Linked DNA regions of Bombyx mori. The protein of the gene in region 3 purifies or fractionates together with the protein of the main gene of each other region. This does not show direct contact. Links are inferred from orthologs where the notes say so. Each region holds a gene or a part of one and is shown on either strand. Other genes may lie near its edges.

Region 1 (5,901 bases), on a different chromosome or scaffold from region 3:
TAGTTATTTAACTAGTCACATTAAGACTTCATAGACGAAATAGGTACAACGATAGTCCTCACCTGTGCAGGATAAAAATACTACCATCTTATTGAAATTGATGCTGGCTTAAGTAGTAGTAGATAGCTTTCAGTGAATAGATGAAATATGACAATTATTTTTTATTGAAATACAATACTAAAAACGTCAATTAATTAAAGAGAAATTTAATTAATTAATTAAAGAGAGATTAGTAGAAATTGTAACCAAATATATGTTTGGTAACTAATTAATATAAAAAAAAATTATATTTATATTCACATCGTGGGTGTCTAATCCAATAAGAATCAAAGTCTATGGTTTTTTGTTACCTCATCACAACACGAACTATGACAGTGTAAAATAAAAGTAAATGATAAAAAAATTCAAAACAAATTAAAAATTAATTAAATTACTGCTCACAGCAAATCTCGCAAGAAAATATGGACACCAATTTCTATCAGCACCATATTGTTTCATATCATCCATAGTGTAGACTCCGTATGGTAACATAGACTCTTTGCCTTCACGATTGAAGCCCTCATAAAATTGACCTGCAATAATATTCATTTAGTTCTACAAGTCTAACCAAATATGAGTTTAAGAGGATCTGAATATTTATCCAAAGATCCCCAGGCATATAACCTTTACCAACGTGTTACATAATGCAGCTCCATTGTGAAGTTGTATTATCTCAAGATACATAGCTATTTAAGCCTGTGTCTATGGGGTCACAATGACAAAATACAGTAATAGTTTTTTTATCCACAGTAGCAGGTACAGCCCACAGGATACTGAGCAGTGACTGATGCTTATCGGCATGTGAAATAAATAAATAATCAAGTTGCTACATATAGCGGTTGTAAATATCTTATATCTATGCAAGTCTTTCATATACTAATAAAATACATAATAAGCAAATGTTCTCGATTAACTTCCAAGGTGAAAGAAATAACATTGTGTAATAAAAATAAAAACCGCAAAATTATAATTTGCGTAACTACTGGTGGTAGGACCTCTTGTGAGTCCGCGCGGGTAGGTACCACCACCCCGCCTATTTCTGCCGTGAAGCAGTAATGCATTTCGGTTTGAAGGGTGGGGCAGTCATTGTAACTATACTGAGACCTTAGAACTTTTATCTCAAGGTGGGTGGCGCATTTACGTTGTAGATGTCTATGGGCTCCAGTAACCACTTAACACCAGGTGGACTGTGAGCTCATCCACCCATCTAAGCAATAAATAAAAATAAAAAAACAGATTAATTTAGACATATTTTATATGAGTCGACTATTATCAAAGCCGGCAATCTGACTTTTGGACAATGATTGGTAAATCAGAAAAACGAATTATTGACTTTGTATTCCATTGGCAGTCACAAAACTCTTCTGAACGACATCTTAGATAAATAACAGGTTAAGTATTAACCTTTATTTAATGCAGGTTTTGAACCGTATTCTTTGAAGGAGACGATTATATTCAAATCAATCTGTATTGACATATCAATAGGAGCCTCTGGGTCTGCGGAGGGACTTCGGTTCCCTCTGTATTTTGTACCGTATGTTCCATGGGGAGTGCTCTGAGGAATTGTTCGAGATGATACCAGCATCTCGTTTTTACCATCGCACCGCCCGCCACCGGAGTAGAGTTCATCCATACAACCTGGAGCCACTGCGATCATCCACAGTGCGTTTCCAGAGATCTTTTTTGCCACGTACCATCCGGCTATGGAATGAGCTCCCCTCCATGGTGTTTCCCGAGCGCTATGACATGTCCTTCTTCAAACGAGGCTTGTGGAGAGTATTAAGCGGTAGGCAGCGGCTTGGCTCTGCCCCTGGCATTGCTGAAGTCCATGGGCGACGGTAACCACTCACCATCAGGTGGGCCGTATGCCCGTCTGCCTACAAAGGCAATAAAAAAAAAATAAAAAAAACATATCAATAAAATTTTTTTGTCCAAATGCACAGATTGCCACCTTTGATAATAGACAACTCATATCAAGGCGAGAACTTACAAATTGGCACAGAGCTATCACGTTCATGCCTGTCTCGTATATAGCTTGCTGTGAGGGCATGACATTTGCCATCTACAAGCTTCCCTTCTCTTTCTCTTGATACCTGTTATTAAAAAAAATTACAATAGATTAATTTTTCGATAATATCCTATTAATAAAATAAATTTAAGTATGCATTTTCTCTACGCATTATTTTCAAATGAAGTGATGAGAGGTAATCATATTATTATGTGGTCCACATTATTTATTTGGTGGAAATTTCCCATGATGCCAAAAGTCACCTATAAGTTTAATAATTAACTTAAGTTCTTTAATAAAATTTTGTAGTGCTTTTGTTTCTCTTTGAAATAAATAAATCAAGGGCTTATGAAATAAGAGCTTCGGGAATGAAGTATTTTTTAATTATTTTAATAAGTTTCATGAGGTCTCTTTTTGTTATATATTGTAAATCTTCATTAGTTAAAAATTTCAATTTTTTTTATTTATCTTGCTGTTTCAAACTGGAATCTATGCCCTAGTTCCTTAGGCTGATTACTATTTGAGGAGCACTCAAAAGGAGAAAACAATTTATGATCATTTATGTTTTTCTAGCAGAATGATAAAGCCACAAACATGGCACCTACTTTTTAGGTATTAAATTACGTACAAGTGTTTCATCCAGTATCCTGATACTGAAATTTAGCAATCACAAATCAATAGAGCATGGGTCAAGGGTGGAAGGTTCTAATATTTTTTGTCTATGCATTTGTTACTTAAATTTGTTTTAAAATAATTCCAAAACAAAAGTAGAGCAGAAACTGGGCGTTTTGGACATGACATGAGAGGAGCTAGAACAGACTGCCCAAGACTGATATAAATGGAAGAATTTTATTTGAGCCCTACATCACGGCCTAGGGAAATAGAAAAGAAAGAAGAAGATAATTCCAAAAATATAGTACTAATCATAGATAACAAATGCACAATATTTTTTGTTCAGACTTATAAATTGAAACTTACATCAGGATGAATACATAAGTTTTTCCTGGAACTAAGAACAACTCCTGTTAAGTTCGGTTTCTCTCCTTGAGATTTCTCATAATAATTGAATAAATTCTTTAGTTCTTCTAACACTTTTTCTATTTCTGGCACTGTACGAGAGCAGTAGATTAACTTTCTGAAAAAGTATATGTACATATTTTTTTATAATTAATTAATTTTAATCATTAATGTTCTTGTTCATTTTAATTACCTGACATGATGAGGGTTCTGTATCATATAAGCTACGATTAAAGACAGGAGCGATATGGTTTTTCCGGTTCCGGAAGGCATCTCTAACAATCCATGTCCCTACAAGTTCAAGCAAGATACACAACATAACCTTAAAATTTTAGGATTTTGTTTAAAGTAGATTCCTTTTTTAATACAGATTTTGAATACCTTAGCGTCCAATGCACGTTTTAACTCTAACATATAAGCATACTGTTCCGGATAAATGTAATCGTATGGGAAATAGACCAATAAACCATCGACAGTTAGCCTGAAAAAGTAATGAGATTATTAAATTAATGGTATTTGTTTTTTTTATATATTCATTTATTAGTGACATACTTCATGGTGAAAATATAAGCCCTTCACAACTATCTATTTTAAATAATTATAAACAAACAAGTCAAGCAATACATGAATTAATTAAATAACCACTTTGTTTTGATTCGAGTGACAGACATATATTAAGTGTATAATCTATGTGACAGACTACCACAGAACACTATTACTTGCAGACTACCTACATTAAAAACTAATAATTTTTAATGGCTTTTATAACCTGGTAACTAAGACTTTTAAGTCATGTCTTATTTTAATTTATATAATTATTTTTATGAAAAATGATAAAATGGAGTGAAATGAAATGAAATGATAAATGACCACCATTTTACTGCGATTATATTTCATCCCATATCATCTCATCTCATTTCATTTTATTTCATCCTAGTTGATTAATGTCTCAAAATTATCATCTTGATTTCATTTCACTCCATATTATCATTTTTCATAAAAATAAGAATACCTATAAATTAAAATAAGACATGACCTAAAGGTCTTAGTTACCAGGTCATAAAATCACTTAAAAAAAGTGTAAGAAAGAAAAACACAAATAGTGACAAAATGACAAAATTAACATAGCAAAACATTGTTATTTTGATAATTATGGGGAGCGATACAGTCTGTCGGATCTGTCTGGAATTTAATGTTAAAATGTACAGTTTAAAGTTTTATCCATTGGAGACCTATTATGAAGATATCGTAGAAGTTAACGTAAGTTACATTCATTCGGAAAAGCTATTGTGTTGGATTTGTAACGTTTGACCGGGTTCTAGTTTGTATAGGAATTGAATTTGGTTTTTGTAATATTTAATAGTGAATTAAACAGTTTGTCATAATAATGATATTCCGTGAAAAGTAAATGCAACTTCTAAGATAAAAACAACAATTCTAACCTCAAATCCCGTAGAGCACGAATAATTATAAACTAGTAGATAGGTCGGCCTTTTTTTTACTGTCCTACATTGTTCCAATTTTCAATAAAAAAACGTGTATCAAAACAAAAACATGTGTATTTAAAAAAAAAAAATTATAATACCTTATTTGGATTCGCTGCTTGCTGCTTAATTGCTTTGGGATTATAATTGTTTATTCATACTTTGTTAATTGACGATGTTTTTATTTATTTTGCAGCCCGAATGTTCTCCAGATCTACCACAGTGTGTATGTTATCTTTGTGCAGGATTATTGAAAAAGTATAGCAGATTTAAAAGTAAATGCTTAGTTGCACAATCCTTATTTTATAAAATACTAAAGTCTGGTAAAAAGGTAATATTAGATTTTGTTCAAACCTTTTGTTAGACATTTTTATAAGTATAGGATGCATATTCTTTGGATCGTAGAAGTTAGTGCTATGATTTGTTCTAGCTTTTTCTCTCTGCTGAACAAAAATATAATCAAATATAAGTTTAACTAACTGTAGATCTAAAATTGGGAAACTAGACAAAACTAAATTACATAAAATTATTCAATTATGAAATATTAAATATAAATTATTAAAAAATGTGTGTCAAATCATGCTGATTATTCTAACTGAATTGGTGTCATATTATGGAAACAATCCTAACACATGCTCACAAAAGATTTCCAAGGATTAATTACGTGATAAAATAATAAATAAATCCACACATACTAAAAACCTTCCTTCCTTTTGTGTTTTCTAGAGATCTTTTAACAGTAAACAAACTGCTTGTAATGAATTCATTAAACTTTTTTTTGTTATAGCTTAGATTGGTGGATGAGCTTAAGGCCCACCTGGTGTGGTTGCCGGAGCTTATAGACATCTACAACGTAAATGCGCCACCCGCCTTGAGATATGAGTTCTAAGGTCTCAGTATAGTTACAACGACTGCCCTACCCTTCAGACCGAAACACATTACTGCTTCACGGCAGATATAGTCAGGGTGATGGTACCTACCAGTGCCGACTCACAAGAGGTTCTACCTCTAACTAAGCAATAAAAAAAGCATCATCATGTTTCAAGATAGTTGATGGCTTTCATGCTGTTTGTTATGTCTATGGACTACCATTACCACCTAACACCAGGAGCTAGTTTATAATTAAAACAAATAAAAAGAGCAAGAATGTTTTGCAGGTCAATATTGAATCAGTAAAATCATTAGATAAACACTATTTGAAAAAATCATTGACTATTTATACTGAAACGGATGTCACACCAACAGACTTATTCCACAACGATTCTCCTACAGAATATTTGGACATTCCAGCTGATGATAATATTATTATAGAAAATGAAGACTCATTAGAAATAAATGAAACAAATTCAGAAG
Region 2 (5,983 bases), about 6.1 Mb from region 3:
TATTTCAAAATTTATCATTTTCAGTAAAAATTTACACCCATAGTTCGTTTTGTTCATCAAATCTCCTTCGCAAAGTGAAATGGTTCTGCCATCCCATTTCTTACATTATTTAAAGTATGTACCTTTCGCTCGATGAAGCTGTAAGCATTAAACCTCAAGTGCATGTACAATCCTATCGATTGTATGGAGTTGCAGTTTGAAAATTTTGTGCCTGAGAACAGAATAGGAAATCATATTGTTACCTATTACTCATATATTGCAATAATTATTAAAGTGACAAATAGATTCCACTTTAAAGAAAAACAATATTTTAAAACGAACTACTTTAATTCGCATTAATAATTACTAAGTACCTACCACTTTTAATTTGCAAAATATGTAAGTATTAAATAATCAGTTTTAATTTTTTTTAAATAATGAAGGTCAAATTAAAAGCTTCTGATAAAATTTGTTTAATTTAACGAAATTCTCGACGCATCATGTAGTTTTTTATGTGAGTGTTAAAATCCAAAAAGTTATGTTACTTTAAAACTACGATCGAACTAAAATGAAGCTAACACCATATGACATAAAAACTAAATTTCATTGTCAAATAGTTATAAAGGGTAGTTTACTACGAACAATAGGTCGTACAGCTGTCATTTAATAGTGGCAAACGCAGGTAAGGCAACTAAAACCGTAGGGTAAGAAGCTCTTGTAATTTTAGTACAGACCATTTTTGTCAGTCGATGACAATTTAACAGTCGATGACAATTTAACAATTTGACGAAGCATGTTGCTGATAACTCTGTTTCTATAATCTGACGAAGCGTGTTGCGGATAATAATATTATGTTTAAAAAGTGTTATTTCATTATTGCGAAAAATAAAGATTCAAAATTTGGTAATTTAACAGTACATTAATTTGTAATTAATAGTAAAGTCGGATCGTATTAAATTATTTGTTATCGTTTTAAATTAAACAGTGGATAATAGGACCGAGAAAAGAGTTTGTAAACAAGCCATTTTCATTCGCAACAGAAAAATTGGTCAAGTGTGTATCACTATACGCACAGTAACGGGTTCCGTATTTGGAATGAATGCTAAACGTATATTTTTCCGGTAAACATATGTCACTGAACATTTTACGGCTCTTTTATGGAAAAAGAAGTGATTTGGAAACCATAATGAAGGCTTATCTAAAGATAGATTTGCTCCTACATACTGTTTTTGTTTTTCTGTCATGCCACTGTTACAATTGATTAGAGATTGTTAATCACAGACTTCAAGAGGAAGTTGTCGATTCGGATTTCGATTTACAACACCGCCTTATACAGGATCCGAGGCAACCGTTCTCGAGTCACGAATAGTAATATAATAGCTTGTTTTATACTAATGGTGGTGGCGGTAGGGCGTATTGTGAGCCCACACCATTAGGCTCCACTATACCACGTACTTGTATCACCAAATAATCGTGCTTCCTGGTTTGAAATATGGGGGAGCAATTCTTCTTCTCCATATCCTACAGTGGGATTATTTTTTTAATTCGGGCTATTATACGTCAACTCTGTATTCATACCCTTCTCTGGCATATCTTCTTTCACATAGTCCATCCAAGGACGCCCCCCTCCTCACTGAATAACACACCATTATATAATATAATTGAGATTTTTTCATCATCTTTCAAGGTGGGTGGTGGTGGCATTCACATTGAGATATCTGTGCACTCTAGTAACTGCTTATGCGGTGTCCGGGGCCTAAGTGTACTTATTTTTTTGGTACTCTTATATGTTTCTGGCACCCATAACACGAGAAAATCCTAGCATGAAGCTGTTCAAACAGGGAGCACCAGCTTGAATAATAATTTTTAGTCGTTACGGAACCTTAAATAATACGAATAAAATCATGAAAATTAAGTAGAAATCTTATAAACTTCGTTCCATATGAGTGCGCCTTTTTCTGAATTACAAAAATGTACTACATTAAATTTTAACAAGCGTGGAAGGAACGTCGAAAATGAATTCGAAATTCAAACGATAGTTTTCGCTGTTCCTCGTCGATGGCGCCAGTAGCGCTGGGTTGCCTGTTGTGGATGGACGTGTGGTGGTGTTAATTTCCTACGACGTGACTGATCAAACTTTGAACGTGATTTATTTTGTGAACTTTGTGAATGACTATATAATTTTTCGTTCTGTTTGTTTGTGATATCCAAATTCCTTGGTAAGTCCACATCTGATATTTATATTAGGTACTGTTGTGAAATAGCATATGTAAATTACTGGTTTGATTATTATGAAAAACAAAATTTTAATATTGAGTAATGTGCCTTGGAAAATATTTGTAAGTAGTTAATTAGTAAACAATTCGTAACCTGATTCATATGAGCCTATCATTATTTGTAAACTATATCTACATATATACATATTTACCCTCGGTGAATATAAAAAAATGTAAATCGGAATACAATGCACGAACGTAACGCAGTATATTAAAATAAATACATTATTAGGTATTTATTGAATTAAAATTATTTGATTTATTAAAATCTACCGGCATTACATTATTTAGTTTAATGCGTACGGATTATGTTAGCCCAGGGGTAAGCAACATTTTTAATCAACGGGCCAATTTAAATTGTTTTTTTTTTGCGGGCATAGATTAATGCTTATTAATAATTTACGAAACTTTATTTATAATAAATATTAGAATAAAAAAATATAAAACAAAAAAAGTAAAGATTTTATATACAAATTTAAAAATAAAAACGAACAAAAAAAGAACAGAAGAACGGATTGATGGGAGAAAGTCGATAAAATAAATTCAATTTTAGAAATGCTTGACGGGCCGGGTGTTTCTTATCGTTGTGTTTAGCCTATTTAATCACACACAATACATTACACTGTTCACCTTCAGAGATCAAAAGACGACTTCTTCTTCTCGCTTCGGTTTCCTCGATACTGAGGGTCGTGACCACCTCCTCGCAACAAGAGTTTATTTCGGATCATTCCACGCCATTTGCCTACTACCTCGTGGTCTTCTTCCGTCTACTTTCCATCCAAAGACGACTAACAAGTAGCAAAACTTTGAAATTGCTTAGTGCATCCAGAATTTAGTAGGAAAGGTATAAGTACATAAGTTAGTTAGACTCGGATACTCGCTTCGCATCGGACGGGCATGACCTAGCTTTCCTATAATATAAAAAAAATCTTGCCCCAAATTTTTTTACTGCTAACAATAATAATGACATTAAGAAACGTTCCACATCACACAATTAGTAAGTAATCATTTCCTTAATCATTAAGCCAATTCGGTAATGAATTGAAATACATCATAAATTGTAACTATTTATATTTACTTCCGGTGTTTTACCGATAAAAATCCGTTAAATATATTATTATTAATGGCAGGCAGCTTTTGAACAAAATATTGGAATTTAGATAAGGGCAATAATAGCAACATTATTGTAACATCCATACTTAATATTTTTATTTAATTTTAATAAGCTTAAAGTTTGCATTCCCGTTGTCAGCGCAGAACAAAACCAAATTTTAAAAAAAAGGCGAAAGATTTTATTCCTACATTAACGAAAGTGTAGCTGTGGTTAAACAAGTATATGAAATAAAAAAAAATATTTGAAAGTTTGTTTGGTTTAATTTTTACGCGTATTAAGGAGGAGCATATTCCAAGGGGCAAATATTTGGGCACGTAGAATAGTTATTACTGATGAGACGTTGTACACTAATATACTTGCTAATCAGTAATTATATTTTTAAAGCTTACCTTAGCACAAGTAGCGATAGCGCATGTGATTACTAATGCAAAAAGAAAATTACTGTATCTGACTCAGATGACAAACGAGGGTGAATTTGGTTAAAACCGGATTAAATAGCGATAATTTTTATTACAATTTTATTTCTCACGATAGAAGACAAAGTTAGACCCCATATAGGTGGTTGAAGAAATAAGCCGTGTCTGGCGATGTCAGTCGCTGCCACTATTTAGCTACAAAACAAGAAGAACCCATAAAAATAACAAGATTTAACATTAACATCCAATAGGCTATAAAAATACACTATGAATATTATATTTAAAAAAAGAGCGTTCATCATCGTCATCCTAATTCTGCCCCATTAAATAACTAAATAAACAGGTAGGTATATATGTATATTTTTAAATATGACCGAACAAGATAAAATTCCAATTAATAACTGAGTTTATCGCGTTCGTATTTCATTGGTTCTTCATATTTAGATTCTTACGTGAAACATCTCCGTAGCATTCACGCCGCAGTTGCTCAGTAAAGCGAAAACATATATTATTGTCACTGGTGAAGGTTGAGTGGGATCGTCAGTCTACCGTTTTTGACTAATAATAATACATAACAATAAACAGGTGTGTGATCCACGCGCCACGCACGCTTGTCGGCTTGGATATCCTCACACCGCGCGCGGGACCCGTGACGCGGCCATTATTATAAAAAACACACACATTTGAAGCCTATTTTGGCGCGTAATTTTTTTAATGCCATTCATGGAGTAAAATTTATTTGGTGACATGAAACTCGTAAATATAATGAAATAAAGTGTGGGGATGAGGGTTTTGTTATAAATAAAAACACAGCTTGAATCATTGATTTTATTGAGAGCAAAAATTGCTTTTTGTTTTTCAAAGAAAGTACACTCTTACATACGCATAGTCGTAAGAGGTGTTATTTTATTCGTGATCAAGCTAGAGTGCAAGGTTTTTTTTCTAGAAAAGTGAACTCGGTAATAACTAACGCTTGCGTAAAATTAAAAAAAAATCCTTTTGTCTCAACTAATTAGCATTAGTATTTACAATATATTATAATGTTTTTTTGCGCATTGTCTCGAAACATACTACAGGGTGTATATAAAGTTTGTACACGTATAGACCTGGTTCAATTTTTGGGGTGGCATTTCTCCTGCATGTGAATGCGCCCGTTGAAGGTCGAACTCTCGGGTTTTTTTTTAGGATTTTTTATTTATTGCTTAGGTGGGTAGACGAGCTCAAAGCCCACCTGGTGTGAAGTGGTTACCGGAGCCCATAGACATCTACAACGTTAATGCGCCACCCACCTTGAGATATAAGTTCTAAGGTCTCAAGTATAGTTACAATGGCTGCCCCACTCTTCAAACGGAAACGCATTACTGCTTCACGGCAGAAATAGGCAGGGTGGTAGTACCTACCCGCGCAGACTCACTAGAGGTCCGACCACCAGTTATTACGCAAATTATAATTTTGCGGTTTGATTTTTATTACACGATGTTATTCCTTCACCGTGAAAGTAAATCGTGGACATTTGTTGAGTACGTATTTCATTAGAAAAATTGGTACCCGCCTGGGATTCGAACACCGGTGCATCGCTCGACACGAATGCACCGGACGTCTTATTTTTTAGGCCACGACGATTTCAAATCTTGAATCTGGATGTATGTAATTGTTAATACGTATCTGTCGTTCCGGAGGCGAAAATGTTTTGAGTTTGAGATCGTTGGATTTGAAAAATTTTTTTAGCCCTATTTTGGCTCCTTATCTTAAGCTGGGCTGACATCTCGGGATGTATACGCTAAGATAACCTCAACCTAACTTTAGCTAATGACGCATTAAACACCCTACGAAGACCATTCATAGTCCATAAACTCATCTACAATCTAAAAGAAAACATAATAGATTACGTTGATTAAATGAAATTCTATACTGAAATGTAAACTTCGAGTATTTGAGTGTGCCGCTGCATCAGAAACCTTAAAATACAATGTGAACCGTTTATTGTTTACTATGAATCCCATTCTCACAGCTAACGAAACCCATCAATCACTCGTAACGCACAACCCAAAGTGTCTTAGTGCAGCATCTATAGTCGATACTTTGGTTGTGTTTTATTATTATAAGGGCTTGTAGGAAACCAGGTGGTAAATGTTTTTTAAACTAAAGAGAAGATCTGTTACCAAGCCGGTATCATTGCTTAGAAGTTTGACTGTCCA
Region 3 (5,995 bases):
AGCGATTTTTCAACCGGATACGGACGTTGGCACATTCGCAAATTATGAAGACTACACAGAAACTCACCTTGCAAGCTATAGAGAACTCCTTCAAATCCAGCTTACCGTCGGCGTTCGTGTCCGCCAGTGACCATATTTGTCCCAAGACCGGTGGAGGAAGCTGAGACTGTGAACAGAAAGACAAACAAAACTTATTTTAAACTAGCTGTGCCCGCGAATTCGTCTGCGTGGAATTAAAAAAATATTACTTTATTCTATAATAATGTTACGCCGATAAGAGCAACGCCATCTGTTGTCGAATGGCAGAAGTGAATATCAAAGGAACTAGTAAACTCGAGAACGCTCGGGAAGTACAACGCCATCTATTGTCAGATAACGGAAACAGATATCCACACGACTCGACTTGCCAGAAATCGGAACTACTCGAAGCGAAACAGCGAACGGATCACCTGAAGCGAAGCGGAAAAAGCGAATTACGAAGTATTTTAGGTGTTTAATTTGTACTGTGGTTGTATTTGTGGAAATTTTATTTATCCCGAACCCCAGCGTGTAAAAATAATTTTAGAATTTCTCTAAAATAGAAGTAGCCTAATTTACTCTTTATTCCATCTCGTGTGTTTAGTGCGAGTGTTTTAACGTTCTCGATCGCGTAAAAGTTAACTCAAATTTATATGAAACGAAATAAATATGAAAAAAAAAAATTGTTTGGAGTTGGAACGTTTGCCTACGTTGGTCGCTAGGGGCGCTGTTCCATATCCATACAAATTTGAGTTAACTTTAGGCAGCAGTAGGGCAGCGGCTTGGCTCTGCCCCTGGCATTGCTGAAGTCCATGGGCGACGGTAACCACTCACCATCAGGTGGGCCGTATGCCCATCTGCCTACAAGGACAATAAAAAAAAAAAGTTCTAGATTTATAATAAATACGCAAATTAACTGACCTGTAACATGAATCTTTTAGCTTGTTCGCCCGTCAAATTTCCATTGACAGGTCCAAGGTTTCTAAAGTGCTCCGAGAACTTCGCATGCTCATGTGCTTGTATAGTCCACGGGTCCGCCATCATTTCTGAATTAAAGACGTTTCTTTGAACCTAAAAAAAGATATACCTCTTAGTATGTATGCAGTCTTCATTACAGGAAGCCTAAATTTATAATCATAGAAAAATCCTAATCCTTTTTCATTGTTTAATTTTCAACATTTTGATTGACATTAATGCAGTAATTTTGAGAATATTTTAATTTGGCATTGTATATTTAATGTTGTCTTTGGAAATCAAACAATGCTTCCTTTGGGAAGTTAATATTAGAACAGGTGAATATATCTATATTAAGTTATAATATTGAACTAGATAAACCATCAGATAATATCTTATTATGAGCATGTTTCTGCATATCTTGGTTTATCAAATTTAAAAAAAGAAATGCATATCACGGTTTAAGGTTTATGTTGTACTATTAAAAAAATTTGTTTGATTTTAAACAATAGACATTGCAACATGTTTTTGTTAACTTTTTCCCGACAATCAGGAGCGGTGTCTTTAGCCAAATTGTATGAATAGAATGTCTCCAATATGGTAGGTCATGATAAAGTACGAAAAAGCCTTGATTAATCAAGTGAAAAGTAGACTTCTAAATTTTTCCTATATTTTATCACTTCTCTAAATCTATTAAAGATGTACCTAAGTTCTATTTAAAATATTTGCTCGACGTACAGACGTGTGTCACATACAATAAGTAACTCAACATACAATAAGTATTAGAATACTACAATTGGTAGAGCAGTTCAAGATAATGTTCTTAATTTTTTAATATTGCTAGCTCGTTGTTTTATAACTCCGTGACCCGGATAAAGTTTAAAGATACCTTAAGCACTAATATTCAATACATTTTTTTGTTAAAATCAACGTTGTTCAATAAATTAATAATAAGTACTACTACTCTTTTGGTACCAACAGGCAGGGGGTGTGTCTGCGAACTAAAACAAATATTTAGGAATTAAATTCTAGGGAATTACATAATGTATTACTTACTTTAACTGTTGTTTGACCTAAGAGAATAGATTTAAGACTGATCCTCCTGAAAAAGGATCGAGTAAAACCCCTCAAAGTTCTAGATAAAGTATTGATTTTTTGATTGGGTGCAACTGTCAAAATCGAAATTTGGTTTTTGACAGTTAATTTTTTTATTGTGGCTCGCTCGGTTTGTGCATTAGCCAGTGTCAATTATTAATTATTTTGCCGTTTATAAATAATAAAAAACGAAGGAAACTGTCTATGTTGGCCATTATTATTCTGTGTAAGTAGATATGAATTACATTAGCAGCGTCTGTCATTTTTCATAAAATTAAGAATATAAACTAAAATAAGATATGACTTAAAGATCTTAGTTACCATGTCATAAAATTCCTAAAAAAAAGAGATAGAGATAGAAGTGAGTTATTATTTTGAGTAGAAAGGCTGTATGGGCTTAGATCCCCTTGCCTTTCATAATAAGGAAAAATTGTACCAAAAAATATATTTTGAGTAGAACGAATTGATATAATAAAAAGTTCGAACTTATAAAATGACCAAAACAGCGGATAACATCAACCCTCACATTTACGAGAAGGGTTCAGAACGGGAGATCACTTCTTCGGAACGCGACGAAGACTTGCAAGATGAATTTGATGATCGCGAAATATTTGATTTAATACGAAATATAAATGATCCTGAACACCCATTGACACTCGAGGAGCTCAGGGTGGTGGAAGAGAAGAATATAATCGTTAATAACGATGATAGTACTGTATTAGTCAATTTTACACCGACAATTCCCCATTGCAGTATGGCGACTCTGATAGGTACGTACTTTTTTTAGCATTAAAACCTATAGTTAATGAGAGAGTAACACACACATAACCAACGCACACCGATAATGGTGGAACAGCCAATATTTCTAAATTAATATTATCATACTAATGTTTTTTTATTGGCAAGCAAATAAACATTCATGCCCAGCCAACGAACAGCTTCCTTTTTTTAATTGCGTGGGTAGACGATCATACAGCCCGCTTGGTGGGGAGTAGCTACAGTCCCTCATGGAAGGTAGCAATTTCAGGGGTGCAACTAAAGTGCAGTCTACCGCTGACCATTTTCAATGGATTGATAATGGGTTACCGTAAACTCTTATCTCTCATCTCTCATCTTAGGCAGTTGAAAAGATCTCGCCAGTTATATTTCAAAATTGTCACCTCTCTTTCGGCCAATATGATCGAAGAACTCAAATATCTTCCTGAAGCAGACGATAGAAAGCCTTTGGATATTGAGCTGTTTTAATATGGATGCGTTAGTCTGATATTTTGTCCACGGAATAGTCACTACTGTCTAGCCTATTCCCAATTTGAACCATTATTGTTTTTGCTTAAGAGAGAGTAATTTTAAAATAGGGCTCAAACTTCGAGTTGCTCAAACTTCGAGTTCAGGACTCAAGATGGGTGGCAGTTGTCCCAATGTGATGTCCACGGACATCTGTAATGGCTATAAACTATGAGAGCTGTGAGCTTGTTCATTCCCCTAGTGCAGTTAAACACTTTTGTAGATAATCTGTTCTGTTATAGTTCTAATTAAAGTTGTGAAGCTTCCGGAAAAAAGTACTGCAAGCTTAATTAATGAGATTTGATTTTTATTTCAGGTCTTTCAATACGAGTTCAACTACTCCGAGCTCTGCCAAGCCGTTTCAAAGTGACCGTACAAGTATCGGAGGGCTCTCACGCTTCCGAACATGCGGTCAACAAACAGTTAGCGGACAAGGAAAGAGTTGCTGCAGCTTTAGAGAACAATAATCTACTGCAAATCATCAATCAATGCATAGCTGTTTAATTGATAGGGATAAATTTATTTGTAAGCCAGATTATCAGTGGCTTTGGTCCAAAGAATGCTGGTACGGCATCTGATTCACTTGCATATACATTTGAGGTTATAGACGTATCATTCAATTATCGATCTTAAAATATGATGCCTATGACTTCATTGGTCACTTGCTGGTACCTGTTTTGAAGGAGACAGCTTATATTATTTATTATTGCTTATAAATACTTGAATGCTTAATGGGTTCCTGTAGGACCTCTTGTGAGTCCGCGCGGGTGGGTACCACCGCCCCGCCTATTTCTGCCGTGAAGCAGTAATGCGTTTCGGTTTGAAAGGTGGGGCAGCCGTTGTAACTATACTGAGATCTTAGAACTTATATCTGAAGGTGTGTGGCGCATTTACATTGTAGATGTTCCAGTAACCACTTAACACCAGGTGGGCTGTGAGCTCGTCCACACATCTAGGCAATAAGAGATAAATAAACATTAAATACCTATTTATTTTGTATTTTAGCAGGAAATAAAAGGCTTTCTATTTTATATTTATTTATTGCTCATATGGGTCAAACTTGCCGGCAATGGTATTTAATCTGTCACTAGAGCCCAGGGAAATCATGAAAGTGAAATTCATTACTGCTTGACGTCAGAAAAATATAGTGATCTAGACTTGCAATTGTGTTTTTTTTTTTTTTTTGTCCTACCACCATTAATATTTAGACCTTGTGTTCCATGAATAATGATAATATACACTATGTTTTCAATGTGCTCTGATATCTGTCTACTGGATAATAAAAGTTGATAGCCTAAATAATCATAGAAAAAAAAATGTATATTTTTAGTGAATTTATGTAAAAATATTTTGTATAGTTAATAAATAAATAAATTATGTATGTGGTTTGTTATTTACTGCTCGTATTCGCGGGAAATTTGCACTCAAAAAGTCAAACTCTTATTTTATAAACACTTATATTTTTGTGGTATTCGGATTTTAACAAGAAAACTGAGAAAACTAAGCTAGGAACTAGATCAGCCTTTCTCAAAGTGGGCGATAACGCCCGCTTGTCGCTGTAGGCATAAAGGATGGTAAGAGACCCAGAAAAAAAATGGGGGCGTTGTGTAGAGGCTTGGGAAGCGATTTGTAATTTCGTCTTGGAGGACTTAGACAACGACCGAGGTCTTTCTATAGTGGTTAAGTAGGTGAAAAAACGGGGGCGCTAAAAAATAATTTATTCTCAAAGTGTACTGTAGACAAAATATGTTTGAGAACCCCTGGACTAGACGATACTAATTATATTAATATTATGTATACGAAGATATTATTTTTATTTTAAATGCTAAATCGGCGCGAGAATGACTGACGTCAGGTGACACCTGCGCGTTCAGGAATAAAATTTCGATCGTGCCCAATGACTAGGGTTATAGTATAGTATGTTATTTCGGATAATTTTGGCCTATACTTTATGTGAACAATTACGAACAATACTGGTGTTAGGACCTCTTGTGAGTCCGCGCGGGTAGGCACCACCACCCTGCCTATTTCTGCCGTGCAGCTGTAATGCGTTTCAGTTTGAAGGGTGGGGCAGCCGTTGTAACTATACTTGAGACCTTAGAACTTATATCTCAAGATAGGTGGCGACATTTACCGCTCCGGTAACCACTTAACACCAGGTGGGCCGTGAACTCGTACACCCACCTAAGCAATAAATTAATAAAAAGTTGCCCGAGCGCCTCCGAAGGAGACCTAACAACTCAAGAGCAGCTGCTCCGCGAATGCATCTACTACCGGATCGGAATCGCGACCCGCTCAAAATATACAGCGAGAAACTCAGCTGGGCTGGTGTATGGATATGGATTAGGTTGCGCAGTTACCAGAGCCCCTAAACCTGCTGCTAATGTTAGAGCTAAAGGCGTCTAATGCAAGGGTTATTGGATCTGATGGATCCGTAAGGACGCGTCTAGGGCGTCGACGGTGACTGGCTCCTGCATAATCAGCATTCGGGAAGCAGTCAGCGGCGGTCACGATTGGGCGATTAACATGACGCATAGCTTCATCGAAGTGCAGTTCCGACGCTGACTTCATGTTTTCGAATCGTTACGAGGTCCAGGTCGTCGTGTATCTCGGCGTTCCTTACTAACCAAGCAATATGTCTGTG

The links.
Region 1: the proteins of MIP18 family protein galla-2 (region 3) and general transcription and DNA repair factor IIH helicase subunit XPD purify together in Homo sapiens (affinity purification with western blotting; 3 studies listed by BioGRID and IntAct, with this or other methods). This does not show direct contact. The link is inferred for Bombyx mori from reciprocal best matches to the Homo sapiens genes CIAO2B and ERCC2.
Region 2: the proteins of MIP18 family protein galla-2 (region 3) and threonylcarbamoyladenosine tRNA methylthiotransferase purify together in Homo sapiens (affinity purification with mass spectrometry; 3 studies listed by BioGRID and IntAct, with this or other methods). This does not show direct contact. The link is inferred for Bombyx mori from reciprocal best matches to the Homo sapiens genes CIAO2B and CDKAL1.

What each region holds. Positions count from the first base shown.
Region 1 is NC_085127.1:13,501,887-13,507,787, reverse strand, and holds the start of general transcription and DNA repair factor IIH helicase subunit XPD, read right to left. Parts: upstream 3,796-5,901; 5' UTR 3,622-3,795; coding exon 3,617-3,621; intron 3,546-3,616; coding exon 3,446-3,545; intron 3,356-3,445; coding exon 3,258-3,355; intron 3,183-3,257; coding exon 3,026-3,182; intron 2,133-3,025; coding exon 2,030-2,132; intron 573-2,029; coding exon 442-572; intron 1-441. Other genes in the region: zinc finger protein ZFP2, read left to right, coding at 4,217-4,324, 4,745-4,879, 5,706-5,901. UniProt on the Homo sapiens protein: ATP-dependent 5'-3' DNA helicase. Component of the general transcription and DNA repair factor IIH (TFIIH) core complex, not absolutely essential for minimal transcription in vitro.
Region 2 is NC_085117.1:6,782,030-6,788,012, forward strand, and holds the start of threonylcarbamoyladenosine tRNA methylthiotransferase, read right to left. Parts: upstream 3,796-5,983; 5' UTR 3,759-3,795; intron 2,199-3,758; exon of another isoform or gene 1,958-2,198; intron 439-1,957; exon of another isoform or gene 358-438; intron 212-357; exon of another isoform or gene 1-211. UniProt on the Homo sapiens protein: Catalyzes the methylthiolation of N6-threonylcarbamoyladenosine (t(6)A), leading to the formation of 2-methylthio-N6-threonylcarbamoyladenosine (ms(2)t(6)A) at position 37 in tRNAs that read codons beginning with adenine.
Region 3 is NC_085117.1:635,210-641,204, forward strand, and holds MIP18 family protein galla-2, read left to right. Parts: upstream 1-2,435; 5' UTR 2,436-2,560; coding exon 2,561-2,837; intron 2,838-3,667; coding exon 3,668-3,855; 3' UTR 3,856-4,732; downstream 4,733-5,995. Other genes in the region: intersectin-1, read right to left, coding at 68-166, 940-1,062.